Callithrix jacchus: one gene and its partners. The protein of the gene in region 3 interacts with the protein of the main gene of each other region in a pairwise test. Links are inferred from orthologs where the notes say so. Each region holds a gene or a part of one and is shown on either strand. Other genes may lie near its edges.

What was found.
Region 1: the proteins of STAM2 (region 3) and LITAF interact in a two-hybrid assay, tested with the Homo sapiens proteins (4 studies listed by BioGRID and IntAct). The two-hybrid records come from large-scale screens. The link is inferred for Callithrix jacchus from reciprocal best matches to the Homo sapiens genes STAM2 and LITAF.
Region 2: the proteins of STAM2 (region 3) and ENTREP1 interact in a two-hybrid assay, tested with the Homo sapiens proteins (2 studies listed by BioGRID and IntAct). The two-hybrid records come from large-scale screens. The link is inferred for Callithrix jacchus from reciprocal best matches to the Homo sapiens genes STAM2 and ENTREP1.
Region 4: the proteins of STAM2 (region 3) and RNF11 interact in binary tests that used the Homo sapiens proteins (3 or more experiments, as listed by UniProt). The link is inferred for Callithrix jacchus from reciprocal best matches to the Homo sapiens genes STAM2 and RNF11.

Annotation. Positions count from the first base shown.
Region 1 is NC_133513.1:17,479,165-17,483,924, reverse strand, and holds the start of LITAF (lipopolysaccharide-induced tumor necrosis factor-alpha factor), read right to left. Parts: upstream 3,161-4,760; 5' UTR 2,957-3,160; intron 1-2,956.
Region 2 is NC_133502.1:95,571,417-95,575,998, forward strand, and holds the start of ENTREP1 (endosomal transmembrane epsin interactor 1), read right to left. Parts: upstream 3,161-4,582; 5' UTR 3,104-3,160; coding exon 2,693-3,103; intron 1-2,692. UniProt on the Homo sapiens protein: Functions as an activator of the E3 ubiquitin protein ligase ITCH in the ubiquitination of the CXCL12-activated CXCR4 receptor. Thereby, triggers CXCR4 endocytosis and desensitization, negatively regulating the CXCL12/CXCR4 signaling pathway.
Region 3 is NC_133507.1:78,249,425-78,253,512, reverse strand, and holds part of STAM2 (signal transducing adapter molecule 2), read right to left. Parts: intron 1,629-4,088; coding exon 1,400-1,628; 3' UTR 1-1,399.
Region 4 is NC_133508.1:88,115,008-88,119,801, reverse strand, and holds the start of RNF11 (RING finger protein 11), read right to left. Parts: upstream 3,161-4,794; 5' UTR 2,700-3,160; coding exon 2,577-2,699; intron 2,139-2,576; exon of another isoform or gene 2,052-2,138; intron 1-2,051. UniProt on the Homo sapiens protein: Essential component of a ubiquitin-editing protein complex, comprising also TNFAIP3, ITCH and TAX1BP1, that ensures the transient nature of inflammatory signaling pathways. Promotes the association of TNFAIP3 to RIPK1 after TNF stimulation.

The DNA of each region.
Region 1 (4,760 bases), on a different chromosome or scaffold from region 3:
ACCAAGATGGCGACGAGGGTGACCTCTGGTCGTCCTCACTGCTGCACTCCCACCAGCGCCATGACAGTTTACAAATGCCATGGCAACATCAGAAAGTTACCCTATAGTCTAAAAAGGAGGCATGAGTAATCCACCCCTTGTTCAGCATATAATCAAGAAATCACCATAAAAATGGCCAGCAGTGCCCTCAGGTCCGCTCTGTCTAGGGAGAGGCCATTCTTTATTCCTTTTCTTTCCTAATAACCTTGCTTCCACTTTACTCCACCTGCTTCCCCTGAAGGCTTTCTTATAAGAGATCCAAGAACCCTCTCTGGGGGTCTGGATCGGGACTCCTTTCCCCACCTGAAAGGGTCGTTGGGAGGACTGAGTTGGTGCATGCGCAGCACTCACACCCTGGAACACAGGAAGTGCCACATATGTGTTTGCTGTCATTAGTGGCATCATACACACAGACATGTAAGGCCACTTAGCAATACACAGACACAGGCAGAGGGACGTATGGAACCTCAGCAACTCACACACAAATAGGCAGGAATACACATGTGCAGAGACAGGCACTTCTGCACACGTGCACACAGATGAAACCATCTTCGCAAAAATTTTAACGGAAAATTGTCACTGTGTAGGAGATCTGATTTAACCAGCCCCCATCTTGTCTTTCACCTGCAAACTGCTCTCCATCATTCCTGGGCTTGGGACTAACTAACTCTGGGGAACATTTAGTTTATAGTTTAAGTGACCATTTTGGTTTTGGTGTATTGTTTTGTTTTGCTTTGAGAGAGTGTTGCTCTGTTATCTAAGCTGGAGTGCAGTGGTGTGATCTTGACTCACTATAACCTCCGCCTCCCAGGTTCAAGCGATTCTCCAGCCTCAGCCTCCTGAGTAGCTGGGACTACAGGCACGTGCCACCACTAATTTTTATATATTTTAATAGAGACAGTGTTTCACCATGTTGGTCAGGATGGTCTTGATCTCTTGACCTCATGATCCACCCGCCTCAGCCTCCCAAAGTGCTGGGATTACAGGCATGAGCCACCACACCCAGCTTTAGTGCATAGTTTAATGATAATGATTCCCTTCCCAAAACTCGACTGCTTTTGTAAAGCTAACAAAAGACCACCAGGTTAGGAAGCTAAAGAATGAGAGAAAGCTAAATTCTGCTATATGTCGAGATACATGATTACCAGCCATTATTCCAGAGGTCACAAGATTTACGACTTCCCCTGTCACCCCTGCAGATAACATCAGTATTGTAGAATCTAAGATCAGCCTTTTGAAATGTCTTTTCAGGTTTTTGCATTTCTGACAAGTACTGAGGACTCAGCGCACACAAGGACCATTTTCCACACACCTATCATTGTCTCTCCAGCCAATCAGCAGCACTCATTCCTGGCTAGCCAAACTGTCCTTGAACAACCCTAGCCTCTGCATTTTCAGGGAGACTGACTTCAGTCATAAAACTCCAGTATCAGCCAGTCAAGGTGTAATCCTAGCACTTTGGGAAGCCAAAGTTGTTTGGAAAACTCTGTCCCTGTCGTGAAAGCCTTCCCCCTCCCACACAAAGGGACTCCCTTATCTCTCACTCTACATACCGTCCTGGCCTTCCCGCCCGGCCACAGCCACCTCCCGCCCGGCAACCGGCTGACCAATCACCACCCGCCTCATCAGCTCTCCCCAACTTCCTGCCTCCCGGCTTCCCGCCTCCCAGTTTCCTGCCGCCCAGCTTCCCGCCCAGCGGTTTAAACTGACCAACCGTTGCCCGCCACCTCGGCTCTCTCGGCTTCCCCACTCCCTCAGCCCTTCAGCTCCCTATAAAAGAACTCTGCTCCTCTGAGCGGCGCGGCCATTTTCATGTGCTTCCCGGCTGGTCCGCCCGGAGGCTCTTTCCTCTCAATAAAGCCTGAACTTAAGACTTTCTTCTAACCTGCGGCCCAGTTTTTTTCTGAACGAGCTCTGATCTTCCCATAGAGGGTAGGTCGGACAAGTGGTGCCGAAACCCGGGAGTTGGGGCCGCTGGCCCGGCCATGGCCCCCTCCCCCCGACCTACCCAACACTGGCCCTGCCACCTCTGCGCTCCGATTAAGGTAAGCCAAGTTTTTTCTAGCTTTACCTTCTCTCCCCCCCCACCCCTCCTACGGCACGGTTGCAGCTGCTCCCCTCCGGCGTTCCACACGGACTCCTCGCCTAGTCTCGGCCGAGCCGAGGTAGTCCTCCGTTCCGGCTCCTGGAGCCTTCCGAGGGGTAGCTGCCAGACGGGGGACGCCCCTCTGACCACTTCCCTAACCGTCCTTAACCGTACTCCTGGGAATTTGCAACGAAAGGGGACGCCTTTTCTTTGCATCTACCCAACCGCGCCGGAGGGTCTGTAGCTGCACCTGCCATGGGAAATTCGGAGTCCAAAATACCTTCCAGCACCCCCCTTGGGTGCTTGCTGCGAAATTTTACCAAATTGGGATACTCCCAAACCCTCAGAAAGAAAAAGCTTGTCTTCCTGTCCCAGGTGGCTTGGCCCCAATACAAACTCAGTAACCAGTCACATTGGCCCCCGACTGGCACTTTCGATTTCAACACCCTCCGAGATCTCGACAATTTTTGTCGCCGCATGGGAAAAGACAATGAAATTCCTTACGTTCAGGCTTTTTGGGACCTCCGTACCCACCCCAACCTATGTTCTTCCTGCTCCACCTACCAAATCCTCTTAGCTCGTACCCCTCGTAAATCTTCCTCCACTACCTCTCCCCCTCCCTACTCCTCACCGGAAGATCTGCCTGAACATCTGTCCCCTCCTGCCAACCTCGGCAACCAGTCGCCTTCAACAGCACGCCCTTCCCCCACTCCCTCTGCACCTTCTATCTCAGAGGCCATGCCTCGCTCTTCCTCCACTCCCTCTGGGCCCCCTCCCTCGGAGGCCGCTCTTCCTCTTGCCTCCCCAGTGGCAGCCCACACCCGCTCTCACCAACCAACTATCCTGGTCCCACTCCGAGAAGTAGCAGGCACTGAAGGCTTAGTCAGGGTCCATGTTCCTTTCTCACTCCAAGACCTGTCCCAAATTGAGAAACGGTTAGGATCCTTCTCAGCCGACTCGTCCACCTATATTAAGGAATTCCAATACCTCACTCAAGCATACAGCCTCACTTGGCATGATATCCGCGTTATCTGTACCTCCACCCTCACAGTAGAGGAGCACGAGCACATCCTAGTGGCAGCCAAAAACCAAGCAGATAAAGATCATGCTATAGATAACCAGATCCCCTTAGGCCCCGAAGTAATCCCAGGTGAAGACCCCCCAATGGGACTATCAGGCTAGTCGAGGGTCTGATATACCCAAGAGGGACCGCATGATTAGATACCTCCTCAGGGGAATGGATATTGTATCTAACAAAGTTGTAAACTATGATAAACTAAGAGAAATCACCCAACTACCTGATGAGAATCCCGCCCTTTTTCTCGCCCGCTTACAAGAAGCCCTAGTCCGGTACACTCGGCTAGATCCAGCCTCTCAAAACGGAGCCACTGTACTAGCCTCCCATTTTATCTCCCAATCAGCATCCGATATAAAAAGGAAACTAAAGAAAGCAGAAGAGGGGCCAGAGACTCCCATCCAAGACCTGGTAAAAATGGCCTTTAAAGTATTCAATGCCAGGGAAGATGCGGCTGAGGCTGCCCGGCAAACTCGCATGAAGCAGAAGGTTGCCCTCCAGACCCAAGCCCTAGTGGCAGCCCTAAGGCCGGCAGGGAATCAGAGGCCCAAGGCCGAAACCCATACCCCTCCGGGGGCATGTTTCAAATGTGGAAGGGAAGGACACTGGTCCCGGGCCTGTCCACAACCACGGCCACGAACTAAGCCTTCCCCTGCCTGTCAGCTCCTGGGACACTGGAGGTCAGACTGCCCCAGCTTTCCCAGGGTGCCGGTTCCTCAAAACAGACACACTGGCGTTATGCAGCCGGCGGTCACCCTCAGTAGGGAGGAGCCTGCTTGCCAGGAGCCGACCTCCGAGGGGGCTCCATTCCCCAGTCTACTAGAGCTGCTAGACGACTAGCGGGGCCCTGGCTCCCCGACTCTGGTTATCCTCGCCGAGCCTAGGGCCACACTTCAGGTAGCGGGTAAAAGTGTCTCCTTCTTGCTGGACATGGGGGCTACCTACTCCATACTTCCTTCCTATTCTGGCCATCTTACCCCTTCCCAGGTCTCAGTCATGGGAATCGACGGGACCCCAAGTATCCCCTACCAAACCCCACCGCTCATGTGCTCATATAACTCCACTCCATTTACCCACTCCTTTTTAGTAATCCCCACCTGCCCAGTACCCCTCCTAGGACGAGACATCCTTTCAAAGCTAAAGGCCATCATAACCTTCCCCACCGCCAACTCACATAGCCTCTTTCTCCTAGCCCTCACCTCAGATACCGAACACCAAAAAGCCCTATCCGAACTACTCCCCAGAGTCCACCCTCAGGTCTGGGACATTAACAACCCGTCTGTAGCTACACACCACCAGCCAGTTCAAGTCCGCCTTAAAGACTCCTCGCCTCATTTTCTCTCCCGCCCTCAATTTCCCATCTCTAAAGCCCACCGTATGGGTATCCGACCCATCAGAGAGAAACTAAAAGGTCAAGGCCTCTTAATCCCCATTAACTCCCCATGTAATACCCCCATCCTCCCAGTACGAAAACCCTCAGGACAATATAGACTGGTCCAGGACTTGTGCTTAATCAATGAAGCCGTAATTCCCATACATCCAGTTGTCCCCAACCCATAC
Region 2 (4,582 bases), on a different chromosome or scaffold from region 3:
TGTGACTGCTGATATGCAAAATGAAGGATCAAAGAAACCAATAAACTCATCCCAAAAATTATATTTTAAATATCCCTTAAATACTAAAGTAGTATTTGCTTAGTATAATAAAAAATATTTACTATCATTTAACTGGTAGTAACCATAATCTTTATGTTCATTTTTTTTCTTTGATCCATTGATTTTTCATTATGTGTAGTCACTGCAATTTTTTTTTAAAAAGTTTACCCTAAAGTTTACCAATGTCTGTCTCTTTATATAAAAGTGAATCTTGGAAGAATCATGGACTCAGAGATAATCATGAATTCAGATCAGATAGTGCATAAATGTAAACTTTCCATAACATGAGGCTTAAAAAAAAAACTGTCGCATACATAAATTCAAACCATGTGACACAAGATTTTTTTTCCCTAAAGCACCAAGAGAGTCATGGTGCCTAATGCCATCCTCTTAAAATTGTATTTAGTTAATTTTTCTATAAATACAGTATCTCTTGCTTCTGGTGTCACTTTGCAAATTCTGAGGCCAACCTCAGGAATAAGTCACAGAAAATAGGAATAATGAACAGTTACAAAGTTGCATATAGACCTGGGTTTGGAGGGTATGGGGAAGTATGGAAAAAAGACATAGCAGAGAACTTGTCAGTTCCAAATCACTGATTTCTTTCTCTGCTCTGGTGTGCTCAGACTTGGAGACAAGGGCATACCCAGCCAGCAGACCAGGAGTATTAACCTTCACCTTCTGGTTGAAGGCCTTTTATTTTATATATATATATATATATATATATATATATATATATATATATATATATATAACATTTTTTTTGGTACTTCATCAAATACAACTGTGGCTTGACTGATATCTAACTGTATTTACCTCTGAAATGATTCACAACAGTAAACTGAATTCAGCCTTTAATTTGAAAAGACAAAAAAAAAGCTATGTTTGAGAAGACAATAGAGTATGATTTTATAAAGAACAAATTCCTTAAAATATATGCAAGATTATTACTGGCCCATAGTATTTAGAGAAATGAATGCATCCACCATTTGGCAGGATTTAATCAGACAAGCACAGTAAGTAGCATAATGGGTCTAATTCCTATCCTGTCTGGAATATCCATCCTTCTGGAGTTTCCCAGAACACTCAAAGAGGCTAGTGGCAGAGCCCACAGGCAGCGCCACCAGGGTGGGATTTTTTTCTACATGAGGCACAAATTGTGGCCTTTGCTCACCACAGCACAGCATGTACCTCAATAAGATCATTCAATATGAAAGTATTTCAAAAGGAAAGCAAACTGGCACTGGATGAAGTATACAACTTCAGGCGAGTCTCAAGGAACCTAATGTTCTTAGCGTTTTTATTCAATTACCTTGGGTTCAATGAGTTCTTCGAATCCTTTTTTTCAATTTGCTCTTGAATTGGGGTATGCGTGGAACTATAAAAGCAGTTCTTACCATTCAGGACATGCACTGATTACAGATAGTATGAAAACTAAAAACTACCAGCATTGCCAGACTTTCAGATTTACATAGTGAGTCCATAGAAAGGTTATTTAAAGCCTGGTGTGGTGGCTCACATCTATAATCCCCACACTTTGGGAGGCTGAGGCAGGAGGATCACTTGGAGATGGAAAATAGCCTCGGCAACATGGGGAAATCCTGTCCCTTAAAAATAAAAAACAAATAAACTTTTTTAAAGGTATATAAAGAAAGGTTATCTACTTTGCTGTGCTCATCTTCCACATACATTCCACAAGGTTGTGTTTCCAAGTCTCTCCACACTCAGCAAACTTCAAAGGGTTGGATGCCTTGGAAGTTGTGAGATTGTTAGGACGCAGGGGGGAGTGGCCACCCGGTGTCCATAGATACTGGCTGGCAGCAGCTTTTCTCTGAAGTTGGGTACTCTTTGGCCCCAGGCTCAGCGTTCCTGGTTGGAGGAGGGAGGAGTGGGTCCTGGAGAGCAGACATCTCTCTAGCTAGCTGCCAGGCGCTCCAGGAGCTTTGGCCAGCTCATCCGTAATGACAGGTCCCGGGTCTCACAAACTGAATTCTGCACAGCAGCCTGCATGGCTCCAGGAACCCACTAGGGTTAAGGCTCTCCTTTAATGACCAGGTACAAGTGCCAGTTCACACACACCCTCTCGTTACCTCCTGAATTTGTCTGGGGGTCGAGCCACCCTACACCTCACAAGTACGTGTGTCTTAATGCAGAATAAAATAAGCGATGTACCCCAGTCAACCTGTCCCATCCCACAAATACACCTACTATGTGCCAGGCATTCTTGATACATCAGTGGACAAAAATGATCACAATACCTGGTCTTCCAGCACAGATGGTGTTAGTGCAGTAATTACTCAATGGCCAAAAGAACTTTAATCATTTTCCTCCCACTTTCCTGCCACCCACATCCTGGCCTTTCAATCTCCCAAAAAGCTGGGTATCTTTGTTTAATTCTATTAGCTTGACAGTGACAATAAAATCCTTTAACCTGCGAGCCACAGACACTACCCAGGTACAACCCAATTCTCCCCTGAACTCGACTGTGGCAGAACATCTTTCTCCAGCTTCCAAAAACTTCAGTTGAAGCCCTGGAGGACCATTACTAAGGGGCAATGGAGCGGATCGACCAGAGCCCCCTATCCCCGGAGTGCGTCGTCGAGCGGCGCGCGCGCGCGCGCGCAGTACTCACCGAAGAGCCGGCCCAGAATGGGCACGAGTTCTTCACCTGCGGAGAGCTGCTCAGCGACAGCGCCCCGAAGCTGAGCGCCACCATGCAGCAACCCAGGATCAGCTGCAGCAGCCCGAGTGACAGCAGCGGGCGGGCGGGCAGGAGCGCGGAGCCCGGTGCGGCGGCGGCGGCGGCGGCTGCCCGGCGGGAAGTGAGCGCGGGCGGCGCGGCCAGCACCCCGGCAGCAGCTGCGGCAGTGCAGCGAGGCCGCGCCGGGGGCTGCAGCGCGCCCCGGGGCCAGCGCGGCCGCAGCGGGGGCAGCGGCGGCTCCTGGGCGGCGGCGGCGGCGGCTCCCGGGCCCCCGGCCTGCGGCCCACCCGAAAGCCCAGCCACTGGGCAGCAGGAGCCCGGGAGCACCACGGGCAGGGACATGGACGGACGGAGAAGGGAGCGACCGGCGGCGGCTGGGAGGGGACGCCGAGCGGAGCCGAGAGCGCCGCACACAGGGCGTCGCGGGCGGGCTCCGAGGCCGAGGGGGAGGGAAGGAAATGCGCACGGCCCAACCACTTGCTGCCGCCGCGCTGCCCTGGCTCCAGCCGGCCGCACCCACCTGCCGCCTGGCGGGTCCGCCTCCCTCTGGCCCCGAACGCACCCTCACTGGCACCCACGCGCACCCCGTGCTCGCGCTGCGCCGGGTCCCCGCCGAACCTGCGCTGGCTTCCTGGGGTCCTAGGAGGGTGCCCTGCCCCAAATATTTAAATAAGTCCCTCAAGCTAGGAGGCACCCGACGGCCAGGACGCGTCAGCGCCGGCCACCGACAGTGTCAGCGTCTGTCCCCACCCGCCGAGCTGGGGCTAGAGAAGAGCAAGCAAAGCGCCGTGGACACTCGGGCTCCTTTACGGTCCAGGTCCAGCCACGAGAGAGACCCCGGCGCACTTTAATGAGAAGGGAGCCAGCCCTTAAACTTTTGCCCCCATAAGGAAGGGGATGTCTGGAGGAGGGACTTTGGGGGCGACTCGACGGGAGAGGTGTAAGCCAAGGACTTCGGGAAGGACGACGCCGAGCTCAGTTACCGCTTGCAGGGCGCACGACTTGCCTGGCCCGCATAGGTGCGGGGGTGCTTTCCCGGCACCTCGGTAGGAGCGGGAACGAAAGGACTGGGTTATTTTGGAACATCCAGCATCCGTAAATAAAGTACCCGAGGCAGCCCGGAGCGCACGGCAAGGGTTACTACTCTCTGTCCCCTCATTGACTCATGAGCTATATCAGGCATCACCTGGTAGAACACAGACCCCTCCAAACTTCCGAGGAAATATCCTAATAGGATCCTAAGCTACTTTGCTAATTTATGAGAAAGCTTTAGAGCTTAAAAAAAATTATTCCTCTTTGCAAAATGAATTTTCTTAATAGCATACCTTTTCACCTCAGAATAATTCTAATGCGTAGAAAGTTTCGTGCCTAAAATGATTATAATGGACTTTTCCTGATAAGAACCAGAGCAGTATTCTTTGCAGTTAGTCAGTTACGGTCTTAGAAAGCTTATCTTATCGTAAGGTTAGGGTATTAGCATCCTCCTACCCAATAAACCAAGAAAAGCGTGTGTCAGTTTTTATGCTCTGCTTGTGGAAGCTGTATTTATATTGCTGGTTACTTTAACCCACAATGTGATATACTATCAATGTGCCCAAATTTACGTATACACTTCTTCAATTATTAAAGCACGTGTCATTAATTGTGCCTAGGACTTCCTTTAGAGACTGCTCCCATGAATAAATTCAAATTCTGGAGGAAAACTGTGATGCCTTTCAAAATAAGTGTTTAAAGTCTGTTGATTCGTGCACTTTCAAAAAATGCCTTACAGTATATGCTCTGAAATTGCAGCTGATGTTAAATCAAAACTTCTTAGAGCTG
Region 3 (4,088 bases):
TCCTCAGAGAACTATCTTGAAATGGATTTAGTAGCAAGACTGACTGCTTTAAAAAAACAAATATAGAAATCTTGCTTCCATGCAAGTAACTTTTTAAAAACTAATGTCCATTGTTTTTCCCAGTCTGAACATGTTTCCATATGCATATGTATTTACAATTTCTATTTTGCATTATGAAAAAAATTGGTAGACAATGGAGTAGTGTGCAAATTTTTAGGAGAGAAAATAATCCCTACTGGCTTACTACCAAACTCCCACAGTTATATAGAACCTATTAGCACTATAAACTAACTCAAAATACAGGCTTCAGAAAAACTGCTTCAATAGCCTCCCTATCAGTCTGTCATCTTCTATGAAGTCATCACCTGCTATTATTCCACAAGTTCGGAATTACTTCTGAAAGAAATGGTCGATTTTTTCAACAGCTTAGTATGCTGACAGCTTAGCAACGGTACTTGAATCACTTAAAAAAAAAAAAAGAAACCACATCACTAAAAACACACTTATCATCCATGCTTGGTATATCTCACAACAAATTATTAGGAATGTCTCACAGCTCAAAATCACATGAAAATCCATAAAAAGGATATGCAGCATCTCTGCACACCATATTGCAGGGAGAAAAACAAATGGACCATATATCTTCATTAGAGAATAGCCAAAGCCACTTGAAAAGGTTACTAGTGGCAATTCTAAATACCAGAGATACATGTAGAAAAGGAAATGTTTTTCCTTAGAGAATGGAAATGTTTTGTGGGACAAATTCCTGCACAGTTGGCATGACTGGCTGGGGACTTTATCACACATCTGCATTTATAAGGTCTTCACTGTTAATCACAGAAAGCATTTTTGTTCCTTCCAAATTGCTCTTGCTTATATGCTAATTACTACTCAACATATCGTGAGAGCAAAAGTGACAATACTGCAAACACAACTGCAATTTAAGGAGCCAAAAGGAAATATGCTGGCAAGCTAAATGCTTACACACAAAAGTTAGTGAGATACTCTGAAAAAAATATTTCAAGTTCTTTAGTGCTCTTATGACATTTTAGGGGAAAACAGTGGTTTCTTTAAAATAATATTTTAACACTCCTATCTTATACTGTTTAGTGTCATAAGGCTACCTAACAGGTATCTAGATTTATGTAGATAAATTAGAAAGTAAGACAAAACTAACTGAAAGCATCTTTAAGCTGCCTCTAATCAAAAGATTGACTTCAAACAAACTGGACTGAAAAAAAAAAACCTTTTATGGCCTTGTAGAGTATGAGAGGTTTTTGTGCTTTTTTTATGTATAGTCCTTTTGAGTTGAGAGGAAAAAAGTTTTAATGTTTTCAGGTTGGAATCACAAGGATTGAATACACTTATGAAGGCTTTCAAGAAAATGGCTGCTTTATTTCTAAAGGAGAGGCTGCTGATGGTAATTTGTGTGCTGCTGTGCAACTGGATGAGCTGGAACTGTCACCGGAAAGCCTGTCAGTTGAGGCAAATTGGAAGTAGTGTTCTGATAAGATGACATATCCACAGACATCCCCATTTGCTGTGTGTAAGCAGTTGTACCAGTAGCTGATTGTAGGTTAGATTTCTGGTTCATATAAGTAGGATTGGAAACAGTGTCTTGTCCAGTGCTACAAACAAAATTGTATAAAGAAAACCATATTTACTTTGCAATATCTAGGTTACAGTTAGAGATCAATCATCATGATAAAAATGCCTTTTCCATCTTCTTTTTAAGTTTATGTAGCTCTGCTGTTCTGATTACAATTTAATCACTCCAGCCATTGAATACTGTCAATCAAATTTTCTTTTTTTTTTGAGATGGGATCTTGCTCTGTTGCCCAGGCTGGGGTGCAGATCATAGCTCACTGCATTCTCAAACTCCTAGGCTTAAACAGTCCTCCTGCTTCAGTCTCCTGAGTGGCTGGGACTATAGGTGTACCACCACTCCTGACTAATTAAAAATTTTTTTTTTTGTAGAGACTGGGTCTTGCTATGTTGCCCAGGATGGTCTCAAACTCCTGGGCTCAAGTGATCCTGTGGCCTTGGCCTTCCAAAGTGTTGAAATTACAGGTGTGGGTCACCACACTGAGCTTGTTAATGTAGTTTTTTTATTTGGTAAGGAAAGAGAGGTACTTGAAAAGAAATAAAATGTAAGATTCTAAGGCCGATTTAACTTGCCTTCTCCAGAATCTCTAACTAAAACCATTTAGAAACCATCTGAGGATATGTAAACTGTTTCTGAGGGAAGTACCCTCGGCCAGTTGCAAAGAGAATGAAGCCCTGGTTCAAGATGCCACCTTCGGCCTACATTCTCCCTTCCCCATCTCCAAATCAGGCGCAAAGAAGTCTACCTCTTCTCTGCAAATATCCTTCAAGCTTTCCTTCATAATCACTTTTTACTTTCAAAGAAAAAACAGTGCAGTCTGTATAGGACCCAAAATCTACCCTCAGGATAATCCAAAACTATAGTTTATTTACTGACACTTCACACACTATGCTGAAAAATCATACCTAATTGCAAGACTTCTGTCTGTTGCTGTAACTATTATGGCATACATTTCTCTTGAAATATATATATAATTTTAGGGCTGAGCTTAGAGGCTCACGCCTCTAATCCCAGCATTTTGGTAGGCCAAGGTAAGAGGTCTGCTTAAGGCCAGGCTAGTTTGAGACCAGCCCGGGCAACATAGCAATACTCATCTCTACAAAAAATTAAAAACATTAGCTGGGCATAGTATGCACCTGTGGTCTCAGCTCCTCAGGAGGCAGAGGTTTTGGAAGATCCCTTAAGCCTGGGAGTTGGAGGCTGCAGTGAGCTCTGATCACACCACGTACTCCAGCCTGGGTGATAAAACCCCATCTATTTAAAAACAGTTTTAATTTTTAAAAATTATGTAATTTTAAATTCCACCAAATACACTGCTTACAATAAAAGAGAATTAGTTTCAACACGACACCAGTTTTTTCTCCATAATTACTAGTGTCATCAAGGATGGCAAAATTTTGTATTTTATTCTAACTGAACACTAATATGACATTTATTTAATTTACAAATATCTAAAATTCATACTCATAGAATTTGAGGGTGGGAAGAGAACCTTATAGATCATCTACATACGATTATATTGAATGAACATTTTGTATGGTTAAACAAAGTGAATAGAAAGGAAGATTTAAATATAACTTTTAGAGTAGAAGTGTTTTTATTAAAAAACAGAACTACAGGGCTGGGTGCAGTGGTGCACGTCTGTAATCCTAGCACTTTGGGAGGCCACAGCAGGCAGATCCCTTGAGCTGAGGAGTTTGAGACCAGCCTGGGCAACATGGTCAAACTCCATCTTGACAAAAAAAAAAAAAACAACAAAAATTAGCCAAGCATGGTGGTACTCGCCTGTAGTCCCTGCTACTCGAGAGGCTGAGGTGGGTGAATCACTTGAGACCAGGAGGTCAAGACTGTAGTGAGCTGAGATCACGCCACTGCACTCCAGTCTGGGTGACCAAGTCAGATACTTCTTTTTTTTTTTTGAGATGGAATTGCTCTGTCACCAGGCTGGAGTGCAATGGAACGATCTCAGCTCATTGCAACCTATGCTTCCTGGGTTCAAGCGATTCTCCTGCTTCAGCGTCCCGAGTAGCTGGGATTACAGGCGCAAGCCACCACGTCCAACTAATTTTTGTATTTTTAGTAGAGATGGGGTTTCACCATGTTGGTCAAGCTGGTCTTGAACTCCTGACCTTGTGATCTGCCTGCCTTGGTCTCCCAAGGTGCTGGGATTACAGGTGTGAGCCACGGTGCTCGACCAAGACCCTGTCTTGGGAAAAAAAAAAACTTAACTACAAATTCTACAGTTCAAACACCCTTCTTTTTAAGGGTCTAAAGTAACAAGTTTTCTAATTTTTAGGAGTGCATGCAGATAAATAAGTCTGGGACTACTTTACAGGCTGATTATACCACAGTGCTAAGCACATCATGGACTTAGTCTCATAAAGAACAATCAGCTTTATTTTGTCCCAGGGATGCAGACTATAAGCTTAAGTAAGGGCAACCATCTCAGTATGGGTAGCAAAGCTAAGGTAACACCATTCCA
Region 4 (4,794 bases), on a different chromosome or scaffold from region 3:
TCTAATTTTTTTAAAAAGAGAAGCAGGTGAGGGTAGGGAGCGTAAGAGATTTAAAATAAAAACTTCAGGCCAGATTCGGTGGCACACACCTGTAATCCCAGCAATTTGGGAGGCCAAAGCAGGTGGACTATTTGAGGTCAGGAGTTCAACACCAGCCTGACCATGGTGAAATTGTGTCTCGACGTGACCAGGTGTGGTGGTTCATGCCTGTAATCCCAAAACTTTGGGAGACCGAGATGGATCACCTGAGGTTGGGAGTTTGAGACCAGCCTGACCAACAAGGAGAAACTCCATTTGTACTAAAAATACAAAATTAGCAGGGCATGGTGTCACATGCCGGTAATCCCAGCTACCTGGGAGGCTAAGGCAGAATTGCCTGAACCCAGGAGGTAGAGGCTGTGGTGAGCCAAGATCATGCCACTGCACTCTAGCCTGGGCAACATTAACAAGACTCCATCTCAAAAAGAAAAAAAAAGGAAATAACCACTTTTGTTGTATAGTAAATAAGGGAGGGAAAGAGAGTGAAATATAAACACAGCTTGCTTGCTTCACTCAAAGGTACTTGTAAAGACATCCAGCTTCAGCTTTTTTTTGAGACAAAGTTTCGCTCTTTGTTGCCCAGGCTGGAGTGCAGTGGGGCAATCTTGGCTCACTGCAACCTCCACCTCCCAGGTTCAAGCGATTCTCCTGCCTCAGCCTCCCAAGTAGCTGGGATTACAGGCATGTGCCACCATGCCCAGCTAATTTTGTATTTTTAGTAGAGACTGGGTTTCTCCATTTGGTCAGGCTGGCCTTAAACTCCCGACCTCAGGTGATCCTCCGGCCTCCGCCTCCCAAAGTGCTGAGATTACAGGCATGAGCCACTGTATCCGGCCCAGATTAAGCTTTCTTGAGACTATCCTTGTGACATTGTACTTTGGAAAAAATAGTTGTGTAAATACAGAAAATACTGAATTCAACGTCATTAATCCATTCAGTTAGGTGCTTATGTGCCAGAAATTGAGTGAGGGGAAGAGTCCCTGTTTTCAAGGGCTTTTACTCATCATTTATCTCCCAGTTACTACCTACTGAGGCAGATGTAAGGGATACAACAGCAAACCAGAAACAGATTCCCTACCTTCACGCAGCTTGCACTGAAAAAGGCGAATACAAAAATGAGACACACATCTCACAAAGATAGAACATTAAAGTGTTATAGATATTACTTATGGAAGTGTAGTGGTTTCAGTGGGGACACAAACAAGGGATTCGGGCTGGGAGGGAAGGGAATGCTGGGACTTCAGACACAAAAGCTTGAGTTCTCAAAGAGGATTAGATGTCCACCTGGTTGACCTGGGGGAAGGGCTCCAAGCAGAGAGCAACTGAAGCAAAACAAAGGTGTGAAGAGCCTGGTGTATTTGGTAGGCCTAGAATCTAGAACGTAATAGAGAGAAGCCATGGAGGCTTCTGTATGCCACAATCAAGACTGGACTTTACTGGTATACATGAAATGCCCCAGAAGAATTATATTCAGAAAATCGGCATATATGATCAGGTTTTTCTGGTGTGACGAGACACTGGTTTACACAGGAATGAGAAAACACTAGGTAATGATGTCACCACATGAAACAAAGGAGAATGCCCAGTCAGAAAACTAAACTCTTCAGGAAAAAATTAAGTACTACTACTGAAGCCCTCTGAAAGATTGTATTCAATATCATCTAAAATGAAAAAAGTACAGGAAATGTTTTTACATATATATTATGGATTAAACATCCACATACCTATTTTGAGTTTAAGAATTAGTCATTCTAATTCTGTAACACATCTGGGACTAATGATTGTTGTACAAAAAGCAGTAAAATCTATTTAGGAGTCTTTGATACAAAGGGAGAACACCACGAGTAACCGAAGGAATTTCCCGTCAGGTTTAAAGGTTTCCAAAGTTCAAGCTAATCAAGTTTTCTTAAGTCAGCACGTTTAAAAGGTGTGTCATATGGGTGGAGCAAAAGGAGGAGGGATTAAAATTTATATACATGTATATATATATAAACAAGTAGCCTGATGTCGCTAGGGCTAAAATCACTTGGAGATCCGTCTCCGAAGCTGAGGGAGAAATGAAGACCTGCCAGATCCAATTAACAAAGACGAAGGAGGGGGTAAGAGGATGACCACACATGAAAACATAAATGGGGCGGGGTGGGGGGGTAGTGCTTGGCAACCACCTATCCAGAACCCATAATCCAGTTGGCGGTGCGACGAGGAAATCACACGATTCAGACATAAAGGCAGGAAAATGTCACTCCCAAACTCCACAAGCGAACCACCAGACACTGGCCTAGGGGATGTGATCACGTTCTCTGATCCCAGAACTCAAGGGCAGAGGGTACCATCCCCACACGGTGCCCGAGGGGAGGCGAAGAACCAACCCTATTCTGCGAACAGAGAGCAAATGTCCTCAGATCCAGCCCTAAGGGGGTCAATGCCGCCCAGGCCAGGCCTTGCCGAAGCCAGGGGCAGAGACCGCCCGAAGCCCCCACAGTCTCAGCCAGAGCTGCCTCTACTCCTCGCTCCCTCCAACACACACCCTCCCCTACCTGATATGGCGGCGGCGGCTCCTGATCCGGCTCCGTTCCCTCACCAAAGCTAGCCCGGTCGGACTGAGACTCGTGAAGGAGGGAGATGTCATCCGAGGTGGGGGATTTGAGGCAGTTCCCCATCTTCCGGAGCTGCGGTGCGTGATCTGGGGGAGGATAAAGCAGCGGTGGGGTCGTTCGCAAGCTCCGCGGTCAGCCTCGGTCGGCGAGGTGGGGTCGGGCGGCAGGCCGGGGATCAGGCGCAGGTGATTCCACCGCCCCGCGGTGCCGCCGAGGGGCCGCTCATGCCAGCCCCCGGAGGTGGGGGCTCAAGGCTGGGCCGCGGGCTCCGCTGGGGTCGCGGCGGTTGCCTCCTGCGAGGCGGCGATGGGGGGGGGGGCGGGGAGACGAAGCACTTCCCCACCCCGCCCCCCCGCGGGGCGGCGGCGGCCACGGAGCTGCTGGGCCTAATCCAGGTCAGGAGGGGGGGGCGCGGCCGTCGCGGCTGCCTCAGCTGCTGCCTCAGCTGCTGCTGCCCCCGCCGACGCCGGAGCCACGGCCGCGGGCCTCATCCTACTCCGCCTCAGCGCGGCGGCAGCAACCACAACGAGGCAGGCTCAGACCCTACGTCATCGCGCCGTGCGTGCTCTAGTCCCGCCCCCGGCGCCAGGGGGCGAGGGTGGCTCCGGCGGCTCCCATCCCCCTCCGCCCCCAGCAGCTGTTCCTGGGGCTGCGTCAATTTTCGCTTCTCTCTGACTGCTTGGCTCCGTACCCGTCCCCGAAACCAATCTCCCATCTCCGGCACCTCACCACATACACTGCGCCCGCCCGGTCTGGGTCTCAGTTCTTACCTGTGCAGTGTCTGACAGTCTTCTCAGTACCCTTTGACAAGCGGTCTATTTATATAAACCCATATCGGAATGAATCAGTCCCAAGATTAAAATATTAAAAGTCGTCCCCTTTATCCCTTCAAAATAAAGTCCTAGCTCGTTAATGAACCCTCCTTACCGCTCCAATCACTTCCTTATCCTCCCACATCACAGCCAGAGAGATTCTTCTTCCAGTTGTGTATTAGATTGTTCCATTTCTTTCCAGTCCAAGCACCGAAGTCCAAGCCACCATCATCCCTCACCCACTCTTCTGCAGTAGACTCTCAGCTGCTCCTGAGTTGATCATTGCCCACATCCAATCCACTGTTTGCAGAGTTGAGAGTTATCTTTTTAAAATTTAAATTGGATCATGTTATTCTCCTGTTAAAACCTTCAATGTCTCCTCAAGGCTGTCCTTAAAACAATCCTTAAGCAGGACACGGTGCCTCAAGCCTGTGATCACAAACTTTGGGAGGCAGAGGCGGGCGGATCATGAGGTCAGGAGATAGAGACCATCCTGGCTAACGCAGTGAAACACCGTCTCCACTAAAAATGCAAAAAAATAGCCGGGCATGGTGGCGCGCGCCTGTAGTCCCAGCTACTCGGGAGGCTGAGGCAGGAGAATCGCTTGAACCCGGAAGGCAGAGGGGTTTACAAATCCGACTCCCTTTTCTTTTCTTTTTTTTTTTTTTTTTAATTTTTTATTGGATTATAGGTTTTGGGGTACATGAGCAGAGCATGCAAGACAGTTGCATAGGTACACACATGGCAGTGTGCTTTGCTTTTCTTCTCCCCTTCACCCACATTTGGCATTTCTCCCCAGGCTATCCCTCCCCACCTCCCCCTCCCACTAGCCCTCCCCTTTTCCCCCCAATAGACCCCAGTGTTTAGTACTCCCCTTTCTGTGTCCATGTGTTCTCATTTTTCATCACCCACCTATGAGCATTAGCAGCATTGTCCCCTCCTTCACAAATTCTAAACTCGGCTCTCTAAAGTGATGTTCGTTATCTGGAAGACTATTGGCTCTGCCTGGGGCCTTTGTTTCTCTCACAGAAACCAACTTCTCCCCAATCCCAAACTTTCTGCTTCTTGGGCGGACACAACTTCATTTCCCCTGGGGAGCCTCACCTTACCCTCCAGTCTGAGTTAGTCGCTTCCTCTGCGTTCTCAGACCCTGAGCTTTTCTCTGTCACAGCCTGATCAAGCTGAATCATCTGTCCCTCTGTGCAAGGCTGGCACACTGCCCAAGGTAGAGTATGCTCTCTCCTTGGTTGAATGAACAGCTCAAACAACATATGCAAAAGAAGGAAGCAAGAAGGATGACAGTGCTACTGATAGACCTTCATTCAGCAGGTGGATCTTGACTGCCT